Linked DNA regions of Caenorhabditis elegans. The protein of the gene in region 3 purifies or fractionates together with the protein of the main gene of each other region. This does not show direct contact. Each region holds a gene or a part of one and is shown on either strand. Other genes may lie near its edges.

Evidence for each region.
Region 1: the proteins of H34I24.2 (region 3) and T18D3.6 fractionate together in Caenorhabditis elegans (co-fractionation; one large-scale study listed by BioGRID). This does not show direct contact.
Region 2: the proteins of H34I24.2 (region 3) and M28.10 fractionate together in Caenorhabditis elegans (co-fractionation; one large-scale study listed by BioGRID). This does not show direct contact.

The regions. Positions count from the first base shown.
Region 1 is NC_003284.9:12,447,416-12,453,473, forward strand, and holds T18D3.6 (uncharacterized protein), read left to right. Parts: upstream 1-2,476; 5' UTR 2,477-2,501; coding exon 2,502-3,242; intron 3,243-3,327; coding exon 3,328-3,391; intron 3,392-3,444; coding exon 3,445-3,512; 3' UTR 3,513-3,940; coding exon of another isoform or gene 3,941-4,018; 3' UTR 4,019-4,028; downstream 4,029-6,058. Other genes in the region: T18D3.9 (Mitochondrial inner membrane protein Mpv17), read right to left, coding at 3,941-4,018, 4,157-4,225, 5,706-5,834, 5,888-5,980, 6,023-6,058.
Region 2 is NC_003280.10:10,644,619-10,650,706, forward strand, and holds M28.10 (Flo11 domain-containing protein), read left to right. Parts: upstream 1-2,897; coding exon 2,898-3,008; intron 3,009-3,068; coding exon 3,069-3,194; intron 3,195-3,245; coding exon 3,246-3,330; intron 3,331-3,474; coding exon 3,475-3,905; 3' UTR 3,906-4,058; downstream 4,059-6,088. Other genes in the region: M28.4 (Protein tweety homolog), read left to right, coding at 1-75, 119-277, 500-583, 630-788, 833-956, 1,008-1,248, 1,299-1,479, 1,524-1,706 and 3 more; nphp-1 (Nephrocystin-1-like protein), read right to left, coding at 4,320-4,448, 4,510-4,745, 4,791-4,903, 4,982-5,481, 5,660-5,890, 5,941-6,088.
Region 3 is NC_003281.10:2,838,517-2,846,513, forward strand, and holds H34I24.2 (CUB domain-containing protein), read left to right. Parts: upstream 1-3,527; 5' UTR 3,528-3,654; coding exon 3,655-3,692; intron 3,693-3,912; coding exon 3,913-4,244; intron 4,245-4,504; coding exon 4,505-4,876; intron 4,877-4,927; coding exon 4,928-4,948; intron 4,949-5,879; coding exon 5,880-6,032; intron 6,033-6,096; coding exon 6,097-6,557; 3' UTR 6,558-6,681; downstream 6,682-7,997. Other genes in the region: Y71H2AR.2 (Peptidase C1A papain C-terminal domain-containing protein), read right to left, coding at 639-892, 1,258-1,436, 1,868-2,263, 2,341-2,411.

The sequences.
Region 1 (6,058 bases), on a different chromosome or scaffold from region 3:
AACCCCATAACAAAATTTATAACTGTGGAACAATGTGGGCGAGATCACAATTTATTGTGTTTTTCGGCTCGCAGAGCACATTCATTCTTTCTACTAATGTTCATAGCAACGGGAAGTACAAGTAGGCTAAAGGTCGATGCATGCTTTTGTTTTTTTTTCTTGGATTTTTTCTTGGAAATGAGCATGCGTGTTAATTTTCTAAGAAAACTTATCAAGAATTTTGGGCGATATTTGGTTGATATGAGGCGTTGTTCATATTTGTGGTATTATGGCTCAAAATCTAAATAATGTGTTCTAATTAGGGGTGGCAAGAGTGCGACCTAGGTCGCTAGGTCGCTGTTTTCATTTAGGTCGCATCGCGACCTAGGTCGCATTGCGACCTGCGACCTAGCGACCTGGGTCGCATTGCGACCTGCGACCTAGCGACCTAGGTCGCATTGCGACCTGCGACCTAGCGACCTGCGACCTTGCGACCTGGGTCGCATTGCGCTTTGCGACCTGAAGTACTGACATTTTTTATACTAACAAATTGCTACAAATCATTTATTTTACATTGTTTTCGATTTCTTATCCATAAGACACCTTGTCGAAAAAAGTTAGAACAGCCGACATCCGCCGGATTTGCTGCTTTTTTCTACGTTTTTAATTCGAAAAGTGGAAAATTAAATTTTAGAAACAACAAAAACCACAAAAACGTGAACTTTTTGAAACAATTTGCTGAAATGCATGGTTTTATTTGTAGAAATGAATTCTTTGTTCCGTACTTTTGAAAAAAAACTACGCATAAACTTATAAAATCTTAATAGAGAAAATGTTATTGGAATATACATATTCTGCAATCTTTAGTTTTCGAGTTATACAGTTTTCGAGTTATACGATTTTAACAACTCAAGTGAATCAAAACCGAAAGAGAACAAAATGTCGGTAATTCAGGTCGCAATGCGACCTAGGTCGCTAGGTCGCAGGTCGCTAGGTCGCAGGTCGCAATGCGACCTAGGTCGCGATGCGACCTAACCCTCTAGGTCGCAGGTCGACCTAGGTCGACCTATAGCCACCCCTAATTCTAATATATCAGGAGATGTTTAAAAATAGTTCATGACTGCCAGATAAACACACAATTTTCAAAGCAATGTATCCGTTTTGTTGTTGTCAACTTAGGTATTAGTGCATGCGTGGTTGTAATAAGCACAAAGCTGAAATATCTAATTTTAGGAAAAGCACGTAAACTTTCTTGTTTTATCATTATCAAGTTTCACTGTAAAGTTTTTTATTATTTTCAAGTTGTCTATGGTGGAGAAATAAAAAGGTTATAGTTGAAACTTTATTGTCTTATCAGTAGTCAAAAAATTTTTGAAAACCCTCACTTTTCTGAGGTGTATTTTCTATTTTTCCAGAAGTCATATCAAACATAATACAGTAGGGTTCTAGCAAACTTTAGTGAACATTCATTGTTTGAGTGGTCTTTCCAGTTGCAACAAATACTACGTATTTAGATAAATATCAAAAAATTATAAAACCTAGCTACTGTACCAGCCAAAAATTAGCTAAAATGATGATTTTATCTTTAAAAAAAATTCAAACTAGTGTTTTAACCAGCAACAGTGTAAACCTTTATAGAAGTATATGTGATTCGTCGTCAAAAATGCAAGGCAATCGTTTTTTTCAAGTTTTTTTAATGATAATGCTGAAATCTTGAAAGTTTGCTGAAATGTACTAAAAACTGAGTACTACTTTGTATTTATCTGGCTGTAACTGTTTGTGAGCTGCAATTACTTTAATACAAACCAACATTTTTATAGCGCTTTTTCAGAGCAAAATACATGGCGTAAAAAACAAGTATGTACATGTGTTTTGTTTGTAACTTTTCTTTTGTTGCTTGGTAAAGATGTCAATTTAATATTGTTATTGAATATCACAATATAATGTAGGCAATCTGCTACTTCAAACATTTGAGACAGCAAGACACGCAGGCATCTCGACAAAACGGCGCTGCTGGGCAGAACAGGCCGGCCAGTGTCGGCAGTGGAAGAGGGCGACGGCGACCGTCCGTCTTTTGGCCGCATGTTCTCCCCCATTTTTCCTCTCCCTTGCAAACACTTTTTATTCTCTTTCTACGGTTTGCAATTCTGCCAATTCTGCAGTGTTTCGGCGAAATGAATTTTCTTAGTTTAAACTGGGAAACTATTAAGCGGCAGTGTGATAGGCTTGGTTGCCACAAAAAAGTTACTCGTTTTGTTTTGCAAATTTACAAAATTTTTAACAAGTTGCTAAATTCCTTTTTTAAGTCTTTTTTAAATATACAATTCCAATGCAAAAAAATATCCCAATGCGTCACATGTTCTATATTTTCCTTCATCACTCCTCGTCTTGCATGTTTTTCAAATACAACTGTTATGTGAATACCCTTTCTGAAAGAAAATTATTATTTACGCCCAACGTTCTTTCAGTTGACTTAACATCACTCAATAGTTTCCTTTTTCAGTTACTTGGGTATACTCATAATGGAAGAACCCCACCCAGCACCAAGGAATGATCGAGATGCGGAAGGTGAAGAGGCTAGGCACGCTTTAAGGATGGAGAGACAACTTGCAATTCGTGAGGGACGTTATCTGCCTCCACTCCCACAACTTCCACCATTGATCCAGCTGATTCCTGTGCACCGCGCTCAGGCGAACGAAGCTGTCGATAGAGCCATTGAATTTCAGCTAAACCAGAGGCGGCAGTTTTTGCTGCAACACCTTCGACCTGAGCATTTTCAGCCTGGTGGATTCTTTGATCCGCAGCCAGAGGGAAACTATCATCCTTTGTCTCCACAACATAGTGACGAAGAGCTTGATGACGCGGAAGAGGAGATTGAGAGACAGCGACGAATCCGCCAAAACTGGAGAAACTACATGAACCAGAGAGTTGATCCCATTCCACAAGAGATCGTTGACCGCTTGCTCCGGGAATACGACAATTGGGCAAGAGCCGCGTTAAACAATAACAATGGAAATTTTCGAAACTACAATGCGATGCTCTCCCCATCACCATCTCCATCACCAAATGCATCACCAGCACCGTCAGACGACGAAGATCCGATGGAGCACGTGAATTCTGATGATGAAGATGTCGAGATGCTTAATGCTCAAATGATGGAAATGCGTCCCAATCAGCCGAGACCAAGAAAGCGTCATAATTCTCAAGGACCATTACCGATCAAAAGGAAAAGAGTCACTTTCAAGGAGGACTCTTCAGATGAGGTTCGGAATTTTTCGGGCTTTTGAAATTTTTTGCAAAACACCCAAAAAATTTTACAATATAATCATACAAAATTCAAAATTTCAGGCCATCAACTCATTCGATGAGGACAGCTCCGATTGCAATGACAATGTTCCAGTCAACCGTAAACGTGAGGAATAAACATAATTAATTCAGCGAGTCAGCTAATGTCAAAATGTTTAGAATATGACGACGACGACGAGGGATTTTTCGGAGGACCCCCGGCACGCCACAACTCCTTTGTTGCATAGAAGTAAATCTCAAATTAACCAACTTTTCTTCAACACACTTTTACCAATTTTTCTAACGAGAAACTACCGGTTCCCCGGTGGCACCGTACGCCATTTTCTGTGAATGTTTTTTTTCAAACCCCGTTTTTCTTTCTTTCTTTCCATTTCTGTCCGACTCATTTCCGCCACATTTCCTCGCCAATCCACTTCCCCGCACCACTTGGGATCTCGTTTCATTTTCATGACTGTTCTTCTGGAAATTTAATCACAAAGTCCAAAACTCATTTCTCATCCTGTTTTATACTCTCAATTTACTTTTTGAATTAACATTATCGTCATTAATTTTAATTGGGAATTTTGAACATAATACAATTTTATGTGAAATTACAACCTAAAACATAAATATCACAGAAAAATACATAAAGATTGGAATGTATGTGAAACTGTAACTAGTAAAATTGTTCAATATGATCGATGGGTTTCTGAGTGATGTAGGACAGATAACAATTCCAGAAGAATGCGACGACCTGAAAAATTAATTGAAAAAATAAACTGATTGATGTGTTTCGTTTCAATGGCGTGATAAACTGTCTAATAAAAATTGAACCTTTTAAACAGTTGTATTTTGGTTATGATTTATTCTTCAAACTTTGGTCAAAATGTACCTGGTTAAGTATTACTCGATAATTGAGTGGAACAAAGCACAAATTCACAACTTGAACAAATGGCCAAACCTGGAATAGTATTTTTGTACGACATAAATTTTTGAGTGCTTGGCAATAATAAAAAATGATTTGGAAGTTAGTTAGGTTTCACGCTGACGTGGCGCATGTTTTCTGTCAAAAATTCACTTTTATTGTAATTTTCATTACGTGTAAATTGCTTCTAAATCAGAAAACTTCTTAATAAAGCTTTGCTGATCGAGATAATGTTTTGAAATTATATATGTATTACTTCACAAAATAAGCAATTCTACTACAATCAACCTTATTTTTCACATAATTTTTAACAGTTAGAGGCCTTTAAATGTTTATAATACAAGTTGAAAAACAGTTTTCAGCAATATGGTGATGATGCTATTGATACTTTATTTTTATTCGAACTATTTCTCCTCAGCATCAGTTTTTGTTCGTCTTCCTCCAAATCTATGTTGATCCAATCCTCATTTTGTGAATATCAATGCATCCTCTTTTTATTGTGCACTCTTTCAATTTCGGGATAAAGCTCTGCTCTTTTGGCGAGGACGAGTCGCAAATGCGACACTCGCGCACACGACGACGAATCGCACCAGCGATTCACCACGTCGCAACGACAAAACTCGCATCGCCGATAACGAAGAGGACCGCCGGTGCGACATAGATGTCGCAATGGAAACCCGTTGGCGACTTGCGAATCGCTCCGACGACACCGCCGGCGATGTGGACTCGCAATGTTGGAGCAGTTGGATGTTGCGTGTCCGCGTCGCGACGAGCCAGCGATAGGCGACAAATGCAGGCAGCAGTGGCTCAATTGCGGCGACGACCCGCACATTTTCTCGGCTGTCTCTTTTCGTTGAGACGCCTTGCTGGGAGATGAGGCGCGAAGAGAAAGGAGTCCTCATTCTGTCATTTGGAGAGGGAAAAATGGGTGAGAGAAAAAGAAAAGGTAATAGAGATGTCCAGTGTGTGTTCCGATTAGAAGAAAGTTTCGAAATTTGAGGGAACTGGGTTGAGCGCAACGAATGTGAAATCAGAGATTAGTTGTGATAATTAAGAATGTTAAAATAGAAAAAAAATATATGTTGTGTCATTTTATGTTTTAATTTTATTAACTGATTTACCCAAAATTGAAACAAAGCATAGCGCCAGTAGATAATGTTCAAAATTGCTTTTATGGAGCTAGTTACATATTTAAGTAAAACTTTCTAAAAACTATTTCTAAAAAGTTGTATTACTATCAAAAAGTGGCATTTTCCTTGTTTACAACTATTTAAACTTCATTCGCCGACCAAATAATTTACTACAAGCTTGATATTTTTATTGTATTTTAATAATTTATGGTTGAAGATTGTATGGCTTTATACGGGCACTTTTAATTTTTTATTATTAGCTAATTCGTCAAAACTGTAACTGAGAAACTTAAGTCTAAACAATCTTTGAATTGTTCATCTAATCTTTGAATGAAGCTTTGAAAATGAATGTATTTTTTCCTAATTTTCCAAAAAAATGTATGTACCTTTAAACTTGTTGCATAAATGTTGAACCAATCTTCTTTTAGAAGATCCCACGACTTTTCCGCTGATTGGTGTTGCAATAGCCGGAGATTGAACAGTATTGCGGCGTTAAAGCAAGGACTAAAACAGAGCTGGAAAATTGTATTTTAAAGGTTGTTATTTTTATAAATTTGATGTTAATCACCTGGTCAATGCAAAGTTTTTTAACAAGAAGTAGTGATTTATTATTTCCTTTCACTTTTTCCAGCAAACGAAACCATATGAACAATGATGGCGCCTGAATAAACTATAAAAAAAATTTCTTAAAGGCAAGTTTCACCATAAAACAACTTGACAAAAATGAAAATCGGGCCGT
Region 2 (6,088 bases), on a different chromosome or scaffold from region 3:
TCTTTTGTTTCAAATTACACGTCAACTGTAGTTGACGACACGGAAAGTGGTGTTGGAATAGTCGATGTTAATGATGTAGGTTTAAAGAATGTATTCAATAAGATCAATTAATTTTCAGTTTGATCTTTCTGGCTATCGAGATCAAAATCAAATCACAATAAAGTCAGGAAATGCTCTGGTAAATCGTCTTCGAAATATGAACACTCTTGATATGGACTGCAAGGCACATGCAAAAAATTTGGTCAAAGAAATACCGGTGCTTGAGAAAACATTGCCGGTAAATTTTACAATAATGTGTGCCTGCTTACAGGCCCTCAAAAACTCAGTTGAATGTACCGAATAGGCGGTAGATAGGCACGTATGCATAAAGACGTCCTACAATTTTTGATCATGAAAATTTAAACCTAAAAATCATTATTTAGACGCTGTAGTTTTTGTTTTTTTTTTTTTTTGAAAAACCACTATCAAAATACCTTACTAATGAAAACAAATAGTTCAGGTCTCCGCAGCAGCCACACGCATTATCAAAGGATCCATGCAACTTCAACGCATTAATTCCCAGATCAAGGATATTAAAGATCATGTATAGCTTTTTCTTAATTTTCTACTCAAACCCCCTCAATTTTCAGATTCAAACCGAATCTAATCGCGCATTAAAAGCCATCAAACAAGCACAAAAAATTGTTGATGGTTCTCTGAAGACTATCAATACTTCGCTGATCGCGTATCAACAGGAGGTGACCGAAGCGCTGAGCACACTGAACTCTGGTCATGAGCATTTTGTGGCGGTAGGTACTTGAAAAAGCTACTGAAGAACATGATCTGATTTTGGTCAAGTGGATATTCTAGCTTGAAAATTTGTGTTCGTCTTCTTGTGACTTTGCCTATTTGCATTGGACTCGTTTTTTGTATCATTGGATGTGTAGCAATAGCCCTGTCACTTTGGAAGAATACACGTAAGTTCAAATAATTTTCCAGGAAACTTGAATAGTTAATTGAATTTTAAGCTTCAAAGTTCACCCTGCCCACTCAATTCCCCAAGCTCGCCACAATTGTTCTCGTTGGTTTTTACGTTAGCATCGTGGTTTCCATTGTGCTTCTTTTATTTTCGAGTACTCTTTTTATCTTGGGATGGTTCGTGTCAGCCATATGTGTTCCCACTTTCCAAGATGATAATTATACAATGTTTCATAGTATACATGTATCAATTAATAGAACAAATGGACCTTTGGATTATTTGAATATTGGGTGAGATATTTCAGAGCTCAGAACCTAAAGCTCATATAATTAACTTTCAGAAAACTTTTCACATCCTGCCGCAATCCTAGAATGACACTGTACAGCGCAATTGAGGGAGAGAAATTGTTTCGCCTAGAATCAGTTACCGAGAAGCTGAACTTGAATGCCTTTCGGAATATGACAAACGAGAAAATTATGAAACTGCCTAATTTGACATTTTCATTCGAGAAGCATCATGAAGTGAGAAAGAAAATAATATTTTTGACGAAATTAATATTTTTTAGATATCATTTGACAAAATAAGCCATGGTTATAGTACTGTAAAGAAATCCAATTTAACAGATTGTGATGATGAGGATGCAGTTCAAGAGTACCAAGAATACATTGAGCTCCTTGAAAAATCTTATTCGTTATCCGATCAATTTGTGGATATTGTGAAGACGTTGAGTTCGAATGCTCTAAATATGGTATTTTAGCAATCTTTAGAAATTTATGTTTCTAAAAATGTTTCAGACTTTGATAGCCAGGGATCTTAACAATGACTATTTTGATAGTGGAGACTGGTCAATTAATGAGTCAATTACGGCGCTTAGGGTGAGTATACTAGAAGGCGTCGGTTAATCATCCGATTTTTCAGACAAACCTTCAAACTAATATATTCATGTGTCGCCCGTTTATTGATATCTTCAACAATGGGGGTATCATTCTGTGCCAACAGCTTGGAAAACCAATTCATGGAATGTGGGCTTCTGCTGGGTTAGCTGGAATTGCATTTCTTCTTCAATCAATTCTCTTTCTTCTTGTTTACCGTTGGTTGAGACAAAGTGATGTTGATAAGGTTTGACATGTCTAACAGTATGAAGCTCTACTGTCTAGTTTCAGAAAGATTCCACAGCTGTACCATCCGTGAAGTCCACCAGTGACCCCAAAGTGGATACTGAAAGTTCACATGCCAGTGTGCACCCGACAGAGTCAGTTACAACAGTTACTGAAGGAACTAACTATGAATTGGCAAAAACTCCGAAAACTCCAGCAAAGAGAGCATCAAGGGCTTCATTTGACACACTTGACGTTGTACCAAAATGGTGATTGATGTTTATGCAAACTTCCAATTGTCGGTACCTTATTTTCATGTTTGTATAGAATTATAAAGTGTTTTATTTCAATTCAGACAGTTTTATGGTGTTACTTTTTTGAAGACCTATGCTCTCCTTTTCGCTCGAAAAAAGCTTCTGAGAATATCACTGCGAATAGATATTTTATTAACTTTTTCAGAAAATTTACTAAAATTTAGTCAGACATTAAAAAAACGATCAAGCAAATAATTTGTTCGCTTATTAAAAACTCCCACCTCCAATTCCAATGACGTCATGACTTTTCAAATAGTAGCCGAGCAGCTTCCATTTCCTTCCATTTCATTTCTTATCAGTGCCAAATTGAATGATTTATTATCTTAATGCGGCGATGGCTTGTAACCAACGCCCCGTTTTTACATTTTTCAACTACCATCGGTAGACCGAATTTATACAATTTTAAATTTAAATTGATTTTAAAACTGAATCTATTTTAGACTTTTCTGCCTACCAGGCAAATTTGCCTGAAGTTATGTAATGCCTTGATGTTTTGCCTTTTTCGTATATCGTTTTTGTTACCTTTAGATGACACGTCTCGTACTTCTCCTATTTGTTCCGGCACTGCTCGCCTTCGATTCATCATTCAATTACGGATGCCAAAATGGACAATGTACCTTCCAACTTGTGGTTCCCAAGGTGACACATTTTCAATACATTTTCACATAGTACTGAAATTCTCAAATTGAAATCGTTCAGGAAGTGGCTCAAGCTATCGATGAACAAACCCTGAACAATGAAGTTGCAACTATTGCTTCAAGTCTCTCAAAATTGGATTCCACAATTTTGAAATTTAATGACACCGGTGCATGTGCCTTCACAAAAGTAAATTTGTGCCAATTAAGCTTTTCTAGACTATTGAGCAATTGATTTCAGGGTTTTAATGCGAACTTCACAGTGGTCAATGCAACTGGTCAGAGCTTGAATGATAATGTTCAAGTTGCTAGTAATAATGCATCAGGTAAATAGGCAGGAAGTCTGTACTGTAGTTTAAAAGTTTTAAGTTAATGCATATATTTTTGGAGTTCGTAAATTTTTCTGACCAGGTGTGCTCTTAAATTCAATTCTCACATTTGAAATTTCCCGTATTCCATTTTATTTCCAGACCTACTTACCGCATCAGCAAACGCCAACACAACCGCCACATTGCTTTACAACTCAATTTCTTGCTTCCAACAAAATGTAAACTCCAGCTACACATGCTTCTCACCTCCAAGCACTATTGCTCCGTCTACCATTGCTCCATCCACAACTGCCAGCGATGTCTCCACTGTAAACCCTGTGACTGACAACGGAAGTACCGTGTCTCAAGGAACTCAGCCGACTGGTGGAAGTACTGCTGCTCCAGTGAGTACTGATGCACCAGGTTCTACTGTCTCTGGAGCAACCGATGCATCCGTTGCATCCACAGCTGGTGGAGATACTACTGCAAGTGGAGCTTCTGTGGTATCAACCGCTGCTTCTTCCGAGGCCTCTACCGCCGCACCTGAAGCTTCTTCCGCTGCCGCTACTGTAATCAGCGGCAAGCCAGTTTAGGAACTCTTAGATTTCTCAGAACCACATCCTGATCGTCAGCTCGCAGAATTTCATGATGTAATAAAACCCCTTAATGGAATAAATTCGATGAGGCTGTGATTCTGAAAAATCGCCCAATTTTATTCATTATTGCGAATAAACATATTTCATTTCAAATCCATTTTTTGAGAGGGTACAGTGTGAAAATTTACAACTGAAAAATGGCCATTGCTCAGTTTTACCACTCCTATGTTTGGGAGTCGACTCTAAATTATTCAAATATTAAACAAAAAAACCAAAAATTTCAAAACCAAAAATTTCAAAACTTGAAATTTACTGAAACAATGACTGAAACATTTCTATGCTTAGATGCTAGATGAGTAGAACTTATTACACAGTTAAATTTTTTATTGAGCTTAATTTTATCTCCATAAATTAGTCAATAGAATGATTGCCTAAAAGATCCAATGAATAATCGATAATATTGATTGGTTTGCATTGTTGATCTGCGATGAACTGCTTGAAAAGTCCCTTATTCAATGCATCCACAAATCGTTGCATAGTCTGAAATGTTACAATAATCGAAGCCTGATTTTGAAACGAGCTCCAAGAGCAGCAGCTCTACCTGTTGCCTAATCGAAAGAGTAAGATCATCTTTGACATCATACGAAATCATTCGAATCCCATGAATAAAAAACGCGGTGTGTAGAAAAGTTTGGAAGAACTCGGCAGTTTGTTCAGCTTCGTTTTTCTTGGCGAGCACTTTCTTTTTGGTTTTCCAAATTTTCAGCATTATATCCATAATGTCATGCTGGTCACAAACAAATGGGAATACAGAGAGAAGTGGGTCAGATATAAATTCTGAAATTAGTTCAAAATATTGTTTGGGTGGGTATGAAATCCTACCAGCACTCAATGGATTCCGATTGTCCCGAATTAAAATGGTTCCAGCTCGTCGGCGGTAAAAGTGGAAGAATGGTAAATAAAGAGCATTGAATACTATGACATCGGGGAGGGAGCTGGAAAAATAATTTGGGTTGAACTTAAAGTCAGGTCAGGGATCCAGATTTTCAGCTTTCTTAGTTTCCAAAACTCACTCCACATATGAAACCTTATCCTTGGGAACATCCATCACTTGAACCAGAACTCTTCTTTTCGAAGCTTCCGGCAACTTCATTTTTGTCATCACTTCATCATCCAAATACAAAACATTCGTTCTACTTGGCACTGCTTTATCATCAATTATCAGTCGCAGATATGTATGTCCCAAACTCTTTTCCTCAATTCCTATTTGTGTCTTCACCAAATGAGATGCTTCCACAACAAGTACCACTGTCGGAGATCGATAGTTTGAGCGGAGAACAAAATCAGAAAACTCGATGCAGCTTCTCGTCTGGCTCTCTTTTTTCTCAAAGTACCACGTTGAAGATTTGACACGTGGCACAAGAGTGTGCACGTTGCTCACAATTTGAGTGGATTTTGGATTTGTGATGTCGACAAGAGCCATTCTGACAAGTGCCTTGTGTTCGATTAGGGGCATCTTTTCAAATCGAACTAGACGGATAATTTTTGATATATGGACAGTTCGCTTGTAAACCTGCAAAAAATATAGTTGATTTATGAAAGTGAGCAAAAAATGTGTTGCTATGAGTAGCAAATGATTCATAGTAAAAATTTTTAAAGCAATTTTCTCAGCCGTTTTTAGGAAGACTCAGAGGTTTTTTGGCAAAACTGTAGCATTTTTTGGGTAGAAACTGCAAGTTTTAAACTTTTACCTGATCCTTGTAATGACTCCAAAAAAGATCATGAAATCCAATATTTGAAGTTGATAGTCTCGGAGCCATATGGCACACTAGTGACAAGTGAGTGTCATTGTCATATGCTTTACCAAGACAGTCATCAACTCGAGATGCCTGCCGGTTTGCTTCTCGTCTTGATGGATCAGTAGTCGTAGATATTCCGATCACCGAATCTCGAACTCCGAGGCGACTAGACACTTTTGATGGCTGAAAATTTCTACTTATTAAACTAACGATACTAGAGAAAAGTAACAAACCACATTCTTCGGCTTTTCCTTAACATGTTGTAAATAAGTCTTTGGCACAAGACCCCTCTGACCATATTCATCCAGTGCAGTCCACCAACCATCGGATCTTGTCTGTGTGATTCGATACTTCTTTCCTTTGATTAACTCCAAATCCCCT
Region 3 (7,997 bases):
AAAAAATGTTGGTGGCCTAGATTTACTGTTTTGCTGCCAAGAACCTAGGAAGACATCTGGTGTCAGGCTGTCTCATCACTGTTTGATCCACAATAAAATGCGACATTTTTTGTACGTGAGCACGTTCTTAACCATGCAAAATCATTTGAGAACTCTACTCCCGCATTTTTTGTAGATGGGAGTAGATCAAAACGTAGATGAAACCGTAATGGGACATTATGACACCACATGAGAAGACGAAATTTTTTATCCGCGCCAAGTACATAAATGGTAAAGTTTAAAAAATATTGGGTGTTCTCCGGAAAAACATTCTGAAAAAAGTTAATTTGAGATATAAATTTTTAAAATTATGAAAACTAAATGATTGGTTATGGTACATCTTGAAAAGTACGGTCAAACTTATGCCTGAAAATTCAGATTTTATGATTGAACTGGAAGCTACTGGTACTTAAAAAATTTGGTATATAAATTCAGAAAGAGAAAAAGAAAATAAAAAACAGCAAAAATTTGAAACAAGTACCCGAAGAAAAATTCTGAAAAATTTAATTTTAAGTGAGATCTATATCAAAATATAAAGGAAGTCAGAAGCCCGCGCTGTAGATAAATATTCATTCTTATCGTAATAACAATTCTCAAAATTATACAAACTCGGTAAGAACTGCAATTGTAGTTGCCATTGCACATGCATTAACATCTCTTGCCAACTTCATATATCCCTGCTCTCCCCACGATGTCCCGAATGAGCCCTTCACAATCCAATATTTTTGCTCTCCCTCGATACCGTACCCAACGATTACCATTGATCGGATTTCATGTGTACTTGTACATTCTTCAATGGATGGGTTGTAGATTCCGATTTTATAATCGTAGAGGGATGGAGGGGCGCGCATCGCTGAAAATATTTGTATTGCTATTAAAGGTGGAGTAGCGCCAGTGGGGAATATGTTAAAAACCACTCCTTTGGTCCCAAAATGGCCAAATATCGTGATAAAACTTTTCAAAAAATTTTTGAAAATTTTTTATTAACTGTCAAAAAGTGGCAATTACTCAATTTTTGCCACTCATAATTTTGGAAGTCGACCAAAAAAAAAATTTTTTACTAAAATTTTTTAAAGAGTTTTATTATGATATTCGGTAGTTTTGGATCATTATAAGTACATTTAGACCAAATCCCAATTGGCGCTACTCTAACTTTAAATGATCTATCAAGAAATTTACTTTTTGCACAATTATGACCAATAAAAAAAAAAAACTCACTGAAAAACGCGGGTCCATAATTTGTGACATAAACTTTCCCCAGTACTTCATTACCCTCTGCCACAACTCCTTTTTTTAAATGAATTTTTGATTTAGTTGAGTCAAAGGTACACTTTTCATTTGTCTTGTCAACATATGGATAGTCTGCTTCTGTTTCTATGCCATGAGTGGCGAGGTATCTGAAATTTTGAATATTTAGCGCTAAAGGTTTTCATCTGACAAAATTGTTAAATAATTAGGTTCCGATTCACATTTATGGGTGTTTTAAACGACAAATGCTACCTATCATTATTGCATAAGCATTTATTATCAATTGATCACATTTTTACCACTCTATTAACTTCAAAGATTTAGGTATTTGAAGACAAGGTCTAATGACCTTCAAATTTGCGTGTCTCAAAAACGGATAGACTAATTAATAAACGTAATTAATAAACGAAATGTTAATCATGTTTGAAATAAAGAACAGTTTGCTGGTTGGAAATTTCTAGACCTTTCCGGCATCGAGGTACACGAGCTTGTATTTCTAAAACGACAGAGCCACTATAAAAATTTTCGCTTTTCAATTGCTCATCACGGTCTAAACCTTAAATCAACCCAAAACAATTACCCAATAGCATTCATCGCAAATTGCTCCTCACATCCCTTATATCCCTGATCATTACAATCAATAAGCTGCTGCTCAGAAAATGACAAAAGTGTTCCATTTGTAGCCTTGGCGTACATTGACTCAATACTGGAAGTTATCGCAAATGCGTGGGATGCATTGCATTTTCCCTGATCTTTAACTGGTCCAACAATTCCTTTCTCTCTCCAATCAAGAAATTCCTCAGTGGTTCGGTCCATGTGAATTGGGGTTTCCCATTGAAATCTTGTTGGGAGTGATTCAGAGGTTCTCTGCTGAACTAAAGAACCAATGATGTAGAATGTCAACGCAGTTAGAGTGAAGAGGATAATGGAATTGAAGGTGCTTCTCGAGTTTGCTGGCTTTTCGAACAAGTCTTCTCTGGAATAATTTACTTTCGATGTTAGGCGTAGGCTTAGGCTTAGGCCTTCTTCGTTTGTATAAAAAGAAAGACTTACCCCATTGCAACGAAGACTTTTTGCTTCTTCGCCTCATCTGCTTTCGAGCTTAATTTAGTAGCACTGACCATTGAGAATTTGTGATTTTCTTGCTATTTTCATTTAACTTTTATATATCCACTTATTGCTAACGATATTTTATTCCTCATGATGAGTCAGTCAAGTTCAAAAGTTATCAGCAATAGAAAACAAAAAAAAACTTGTTTTCAGTGAGAGATTTAGAGAATTGAAGTGGTAGTAAAGTAATTTCCTTCGGTTCTATTTGTTGTGTGATTTGTTTTTGATATCTATGTAGACATGTAGGCATGTAGGCATGTAGACAGGTAGGCATTTTTTGGAGTTTGGATTCAGTAGCTCGCATAACCGCCAAGTTTAAGCAGAGATACCTTTAGAGATATCAAACCTTTTAGAGTATAAATTGAGGTTAAATAAAACTAGGGCTGTACAACCGGACGTCCGGTCGTCCGGTTGGGGGTAGCTATCCACGACGGCCGACAATTTCCGAGTTTCACCACCCACTATAAAATTGCTGATTAAGTATAGTGAGTGGCGAAACTCGGAAATTGTCGGCCGCCGTGGAAACCTACCCCAAAACCGGACGCGGTGCGTCCGGTGGTGTCAAAATCGGACGACCGGACGCCGATTTGTACAGCCCTAAATAAAACTGACCATTTATATGCGAAATTAGTAGATTTTCCAAACTTTGAAAATTCATATCTGACTTCAAATTAAATGTTTCAAAAATTCCCGTAGCCATTTTGTCGCAAATTTTGTGTTCTTTCAGAATTTGAAAGCGGCATTCCAACAACTTCCGAAATTGCCGAGTTCAAGCAGGAAATGTGGATTTTTGAGCACATTTTGAGTTAATTTGGAATAGTCAATTTAAATGCAAAAATAGTAGATTTTTCAAACTTTGAAAATTCATATCTGACTTCAGACTAAATTTTTCGAAAATTCCCGTAGCCATTTTTTCGCAAATTTTGCGTTTTTTCAGAATTTAAAACGACAATTTGTAGGCATGTAGGCATGTTTGGTTCATTTACAGTCAAATTTGACCACGTTTCAGTCAATTTCTCTTCCATTTTTCACATTTAAACTCCCCTTCCTGTTTAAAATTGCCGTCGTAAAAACGGTATAAATCATTCTTATCACCAGCAAATATATCAGTAGTTGTGCATTATGACGGTAGTACATTTTTGGATGGGGAGCAAACATAAATCATTCAATTCGACGCCCTTTTTAAGCTGATAAGGCAAATTTCTAAATTTTCGGCAGTATCACTTCTGTTTCTACACAGGCTTCTTGTCGCTAGAAATGAAATTCCGGTTTTTGGCGTTATGTGTTGGGTTACTGTAAGTTTTGGGCAAAATTGTTTGATTTTTTTCGTATTTTTTCCAGAAACTGGGGTTTTTTAGAAGAAGCATCGAGTTTTTTCAAATTTTTAGCCGACTTTTTAAAATGGAAAATATTGATTTTTCCAAGAAATTGACGATTTTTCTTCCAAAATTATTAATTTTCTTGGAAAAGGTATTGATTTTTCTCGAAACAATAATTTTTCCAAATTTTTTTCAGATTAGCCACATTGGTTAGTGGCAATGGAGACCCGGGAGCCTCAAATTCTTCATCGGTAGCAACAACCGTCGCAGCTTCTCCCTCAACAGACGCTTCCTCATCAGCAGCACCATCCCAGGCTCCAGCTTCTCCAACTTCCGTTGACCCATCTGCCACTACTCAAGCAGCCGCATCCTCTGGAGCACCCGTATCTACAGTATCCCCATCGTCCGGAGCAACCACTGCCGAGCCATCAAGCTCTTCGGCGGCTCCAGTGACCTCTGGAGGGTCTACTGTATCAGCTGGACCAACTACACCAGCACCGCTTCCAAATGTGACGTACAGTCTTTTGCGTGAGTTGTATTAGATAGCTATGTGAAGTAGGCACGAGATCCACTGTAGGTAGCTTGGTAGGCAGTCGTAGGCTGCCTGGTAGGCAGTCGTAGGTAGGTTAAACAGCGCAGAAGACGGGAAGGCACGCGTAGGTAGAAAGACTATCAGACACCGAGTGCCCACGTGAAATGCAAAGACAACTTTAGCAGTACATAGAATGGCATGTAGGCCGCCTTGAAGGCAGGCAAGTAGGCGTTTACACCTATTCACAAATTTTCAGAGTTCTCCTCTCCGGTATGCGTGGATGCTTCTTGCACCTACACTTTCAATGCTCCTGGCAACAACCAAGTCCTTCTCGCCACTGATCAATCTGCTGTCGCCACAGAGCGCACCCAATTCTCAGGTCTTCAAGGTCAGGCCAGTGATAAGGATAAGGCTGTGAAGGAGGCCAATGATGAGGCAGTTCAAAAGATTAAGGATCTTCAAGCCCTACTGGATAGTATTCAAAAAAATTTGAACGCGATTCAAAATAATATCATAGTGATCACAAATCAGCAAAATGACGCGCAGACTACTCTGACGTTTGTGGAGAAGTTTATCGGTCAGGTGAACTCGGCGCAGGGCAATTGTCTATATCAGAGATGTTTGAAGCGTGAGTTCTGAAACAGTGGAGGTTTTTTCTAGTAATTGTGATTTTTTTCAGCGACAACTCCAGCACCACCAAGTAAGTTGCAATGAAAGGAGGCCAAGAACACCTAACAGGGATGAAAGCTTTGAAACGATAGTCTAGATTACTACAAAAATATCATTTTTTAAAAAAATATTTTCAACGGTTGTATTTTTGTCCCTGTCTTTTCGGCAAATTTTTTGAAAGTTTTGAGAAAAAACTCATTCTGAAAAATTTTAAAGAAAATTTATACAAAAAACAAGCGGAAAACTTTCGAAATAATCCAAAATTTTCAGGAAAATCGGTAAATCGGCAAATTGCCGGAATTAAAAATTTTTGGCAAATTGTCAATTTGCCGAAGTTTCCGGAAAACGGAAATTTTGGTTTTGCACATTTTTTTTGGAAATGTCATAATTTCAATTTTAATCGGCAAAAAAAAATTTCCAGCAAACCGGCAAATCGGCAATTGCCGGAATTGAAATTTCTTGCAAATCGGCAAATTGCCGAAAGTGAAAATTTCCGGCACATCGGCAAAATTCCGGAATTGAAAATTTCTGGCAAATCGGCAATTGCCAGAATTGAAAATTTCTGGAAAATCGGCAAATTGTCAGAATTGAAATTTTTGGCAAATCGGCAATTTCCGGAATTGAAACTTTCTGGCAAATCGGCAATTGCCAGAATTGAAAATTTCTGGCAAATCGGGAAATTGCCGGAATTGAAAACTTCTGGCAAATCGGCAAGTTGCCGGAATTGAAAATTTCTGGCAAATCGGCAATTGCCAGAATTGAAAATTTCTGGCAAATCGGCAATTGCCAGAATTGAAAATTTCTGGAAAATCGGCAAAGTGCCGGAATTGAAAATTTCCGGCCAACCGGCAAATCGGCAAATCGGCAAATTGCCGGCAACTCGGCAAACCGGCAATTTTTCGATTTTCCGAACGGCAATTGGCGCCCACCCCTGAATCAAGCAAAGTAATCTTAACTTGCAGCCACCTCAACTGCTCCACCACCAACAACTACTCCAAATCCATGTTTGGCATTTAATTGCACAGGAAGCGGGCCATGCCAATTGGATAGTCTCAACAGACCATACTGCACAAATTGCCCGGGAGATATGGACGGATACACTCAGTGCCAGCAAGGTTAGCTTTTTTTTTAGATTTTAGAACCATCCGCTTCGTTTTTTTTTACTCTGGATTTTTTCAGTTGCCTGCTCAGCCGCTGGAACTAACTTCACCATTGGCACAAATAATAGAGGAGTTTGGTACTCCCCTGGCTACAACTCCAACAATACAAACTCCTCAGTTGTTCCAGCCAACTCTAACTGTATCTATAATCTAACTGGATATTACCAAGTTAACCAAACCAGTGGGGCTCCTGAACTGAATCTAAACTGTCTGGCGTCTTCAAACGTTGAGTTCTATTTTTTGAATTCGGATGGTTTTAAAACGCCACTCACAAGTGGAAGTTCTGCTAGAGTGATTAATAACGCGTTGGGCAAGATGAAAACTGGTGGACAGATTGTTATAACATCGACAAGCTTGGACGCCTCTTATTGTGTGCTTCCGTTGGCTCTGCAACCAGCTACAACTTCGAAACCCGAGTTCGAGGAGTCGGAGGTTGCAAAGAAGTCCAATGGTTTCTTCAATTGGCTTATGGGATATTAATTATTCACAACTGTTTAATGAATGAATATATAGCACATTCACAATTAGTACAACAGTTCAGACCTCTGAGCAGTATTTATTCATTTTTAAACGACAATTTCTATCGTGAAAAAAAAATTACGACATCATCAAAAGGTATGAAACAATATACATAATTGTGCAAATAATTACAAAATTTTGCCGGTTTGCCAATTTGCCGAAAATTTTCGATTCCGGCAATTTGCCGGTTCGCAGTTTACCGGAAATGTTTAAAGGGATTTTTTATAAGACGGAAACACTTAAAACTGTGCCTTTTTGAAACTTTTTTCATGGTTTTTTAAAGATATTTTCATAGAATTTGCAAAATAGATGTAGGAAGATTCTTAGGATGCGTACAATTTTGCCGATTAAAATTGAAATTCTGAAATTTCCGAAAAAATGTGCAAAACCAAAATTTGCCGATATTTTTTGGCAACTACAGTTTTTCCGGCAAATTCGGAGAATCGGCAATTTGCCGGTTTGCCGATTTACCGGAAATTTTCAATTCTGGCAATTTGCCGGAAATTTGCCAATTTGCCGGAAATTTCAATTCTGGCAATTTGCCGATTTGCCAGAAACTTCAATTTTGGCAATTTGGCGATTTGCAAGAAATTTCAATTCTGGCAATTTGCCAATTTTCCAGAAATTTTTCATTACGGCAAATTGGCGATTTGCCGGAAATTTGCCGATTTGCCAGAAACTTCAATTTTGGCAATTTGGCGATTTGCAAGAAATTTCAATTCTGGCAATTTGCCAATTTTCCAGAAATTTTTCATTACGGCAAATTGGCGATTTGCCGGAAATTTGCCGATTTGCCAGAAACTTCAATTTTGGCAATTTGGCGATTTGCAAGAAATTTCAATTCTGGCAATTTACCAATTTTCCAGAAATTTTTCATTACGGCAAATTGGCGATTTGCCGGAAATTTGCCGATTTGCCAGAAACTTCAATTTTGGCAATTTGCCGATTTGCCGGAAATTTCATTTCCGGAAATTTGTCGATTAGCCGGGAATTTCGATTCTGGCAATTTGCCGACTTGCCAAAAATTTTCAATTCCGGAAATTTGCCGATGTGCCAGAAATTTCAATTCTGGCAATTTGCCAATTTGCCAAAAATTTTCAATTCCGGCAATTTGCCGATTTGCAAGAAATTTCAATTCTGACAATTTGCCGATTTGCCAGAAATTTCAATTCCGGAATTTTGCCACTTTGCCAGAAATTTCAATTCTGGCAATTTGCCAATTAGCTGGGAATTTCAATTCTGGCAATTTGCCGACTTGCCGGAAATTTCCAATTTCGGCAATTCGCCGATTTGCCAGAAATTTCAATTCTGGCAATTTGCCGATTTGCCGGAAATTTTCAATTCCGTCGATTTGCCGATTGTCCAGAAATTTTCAATTCTGGATTTTGCCAATTTGCCAGA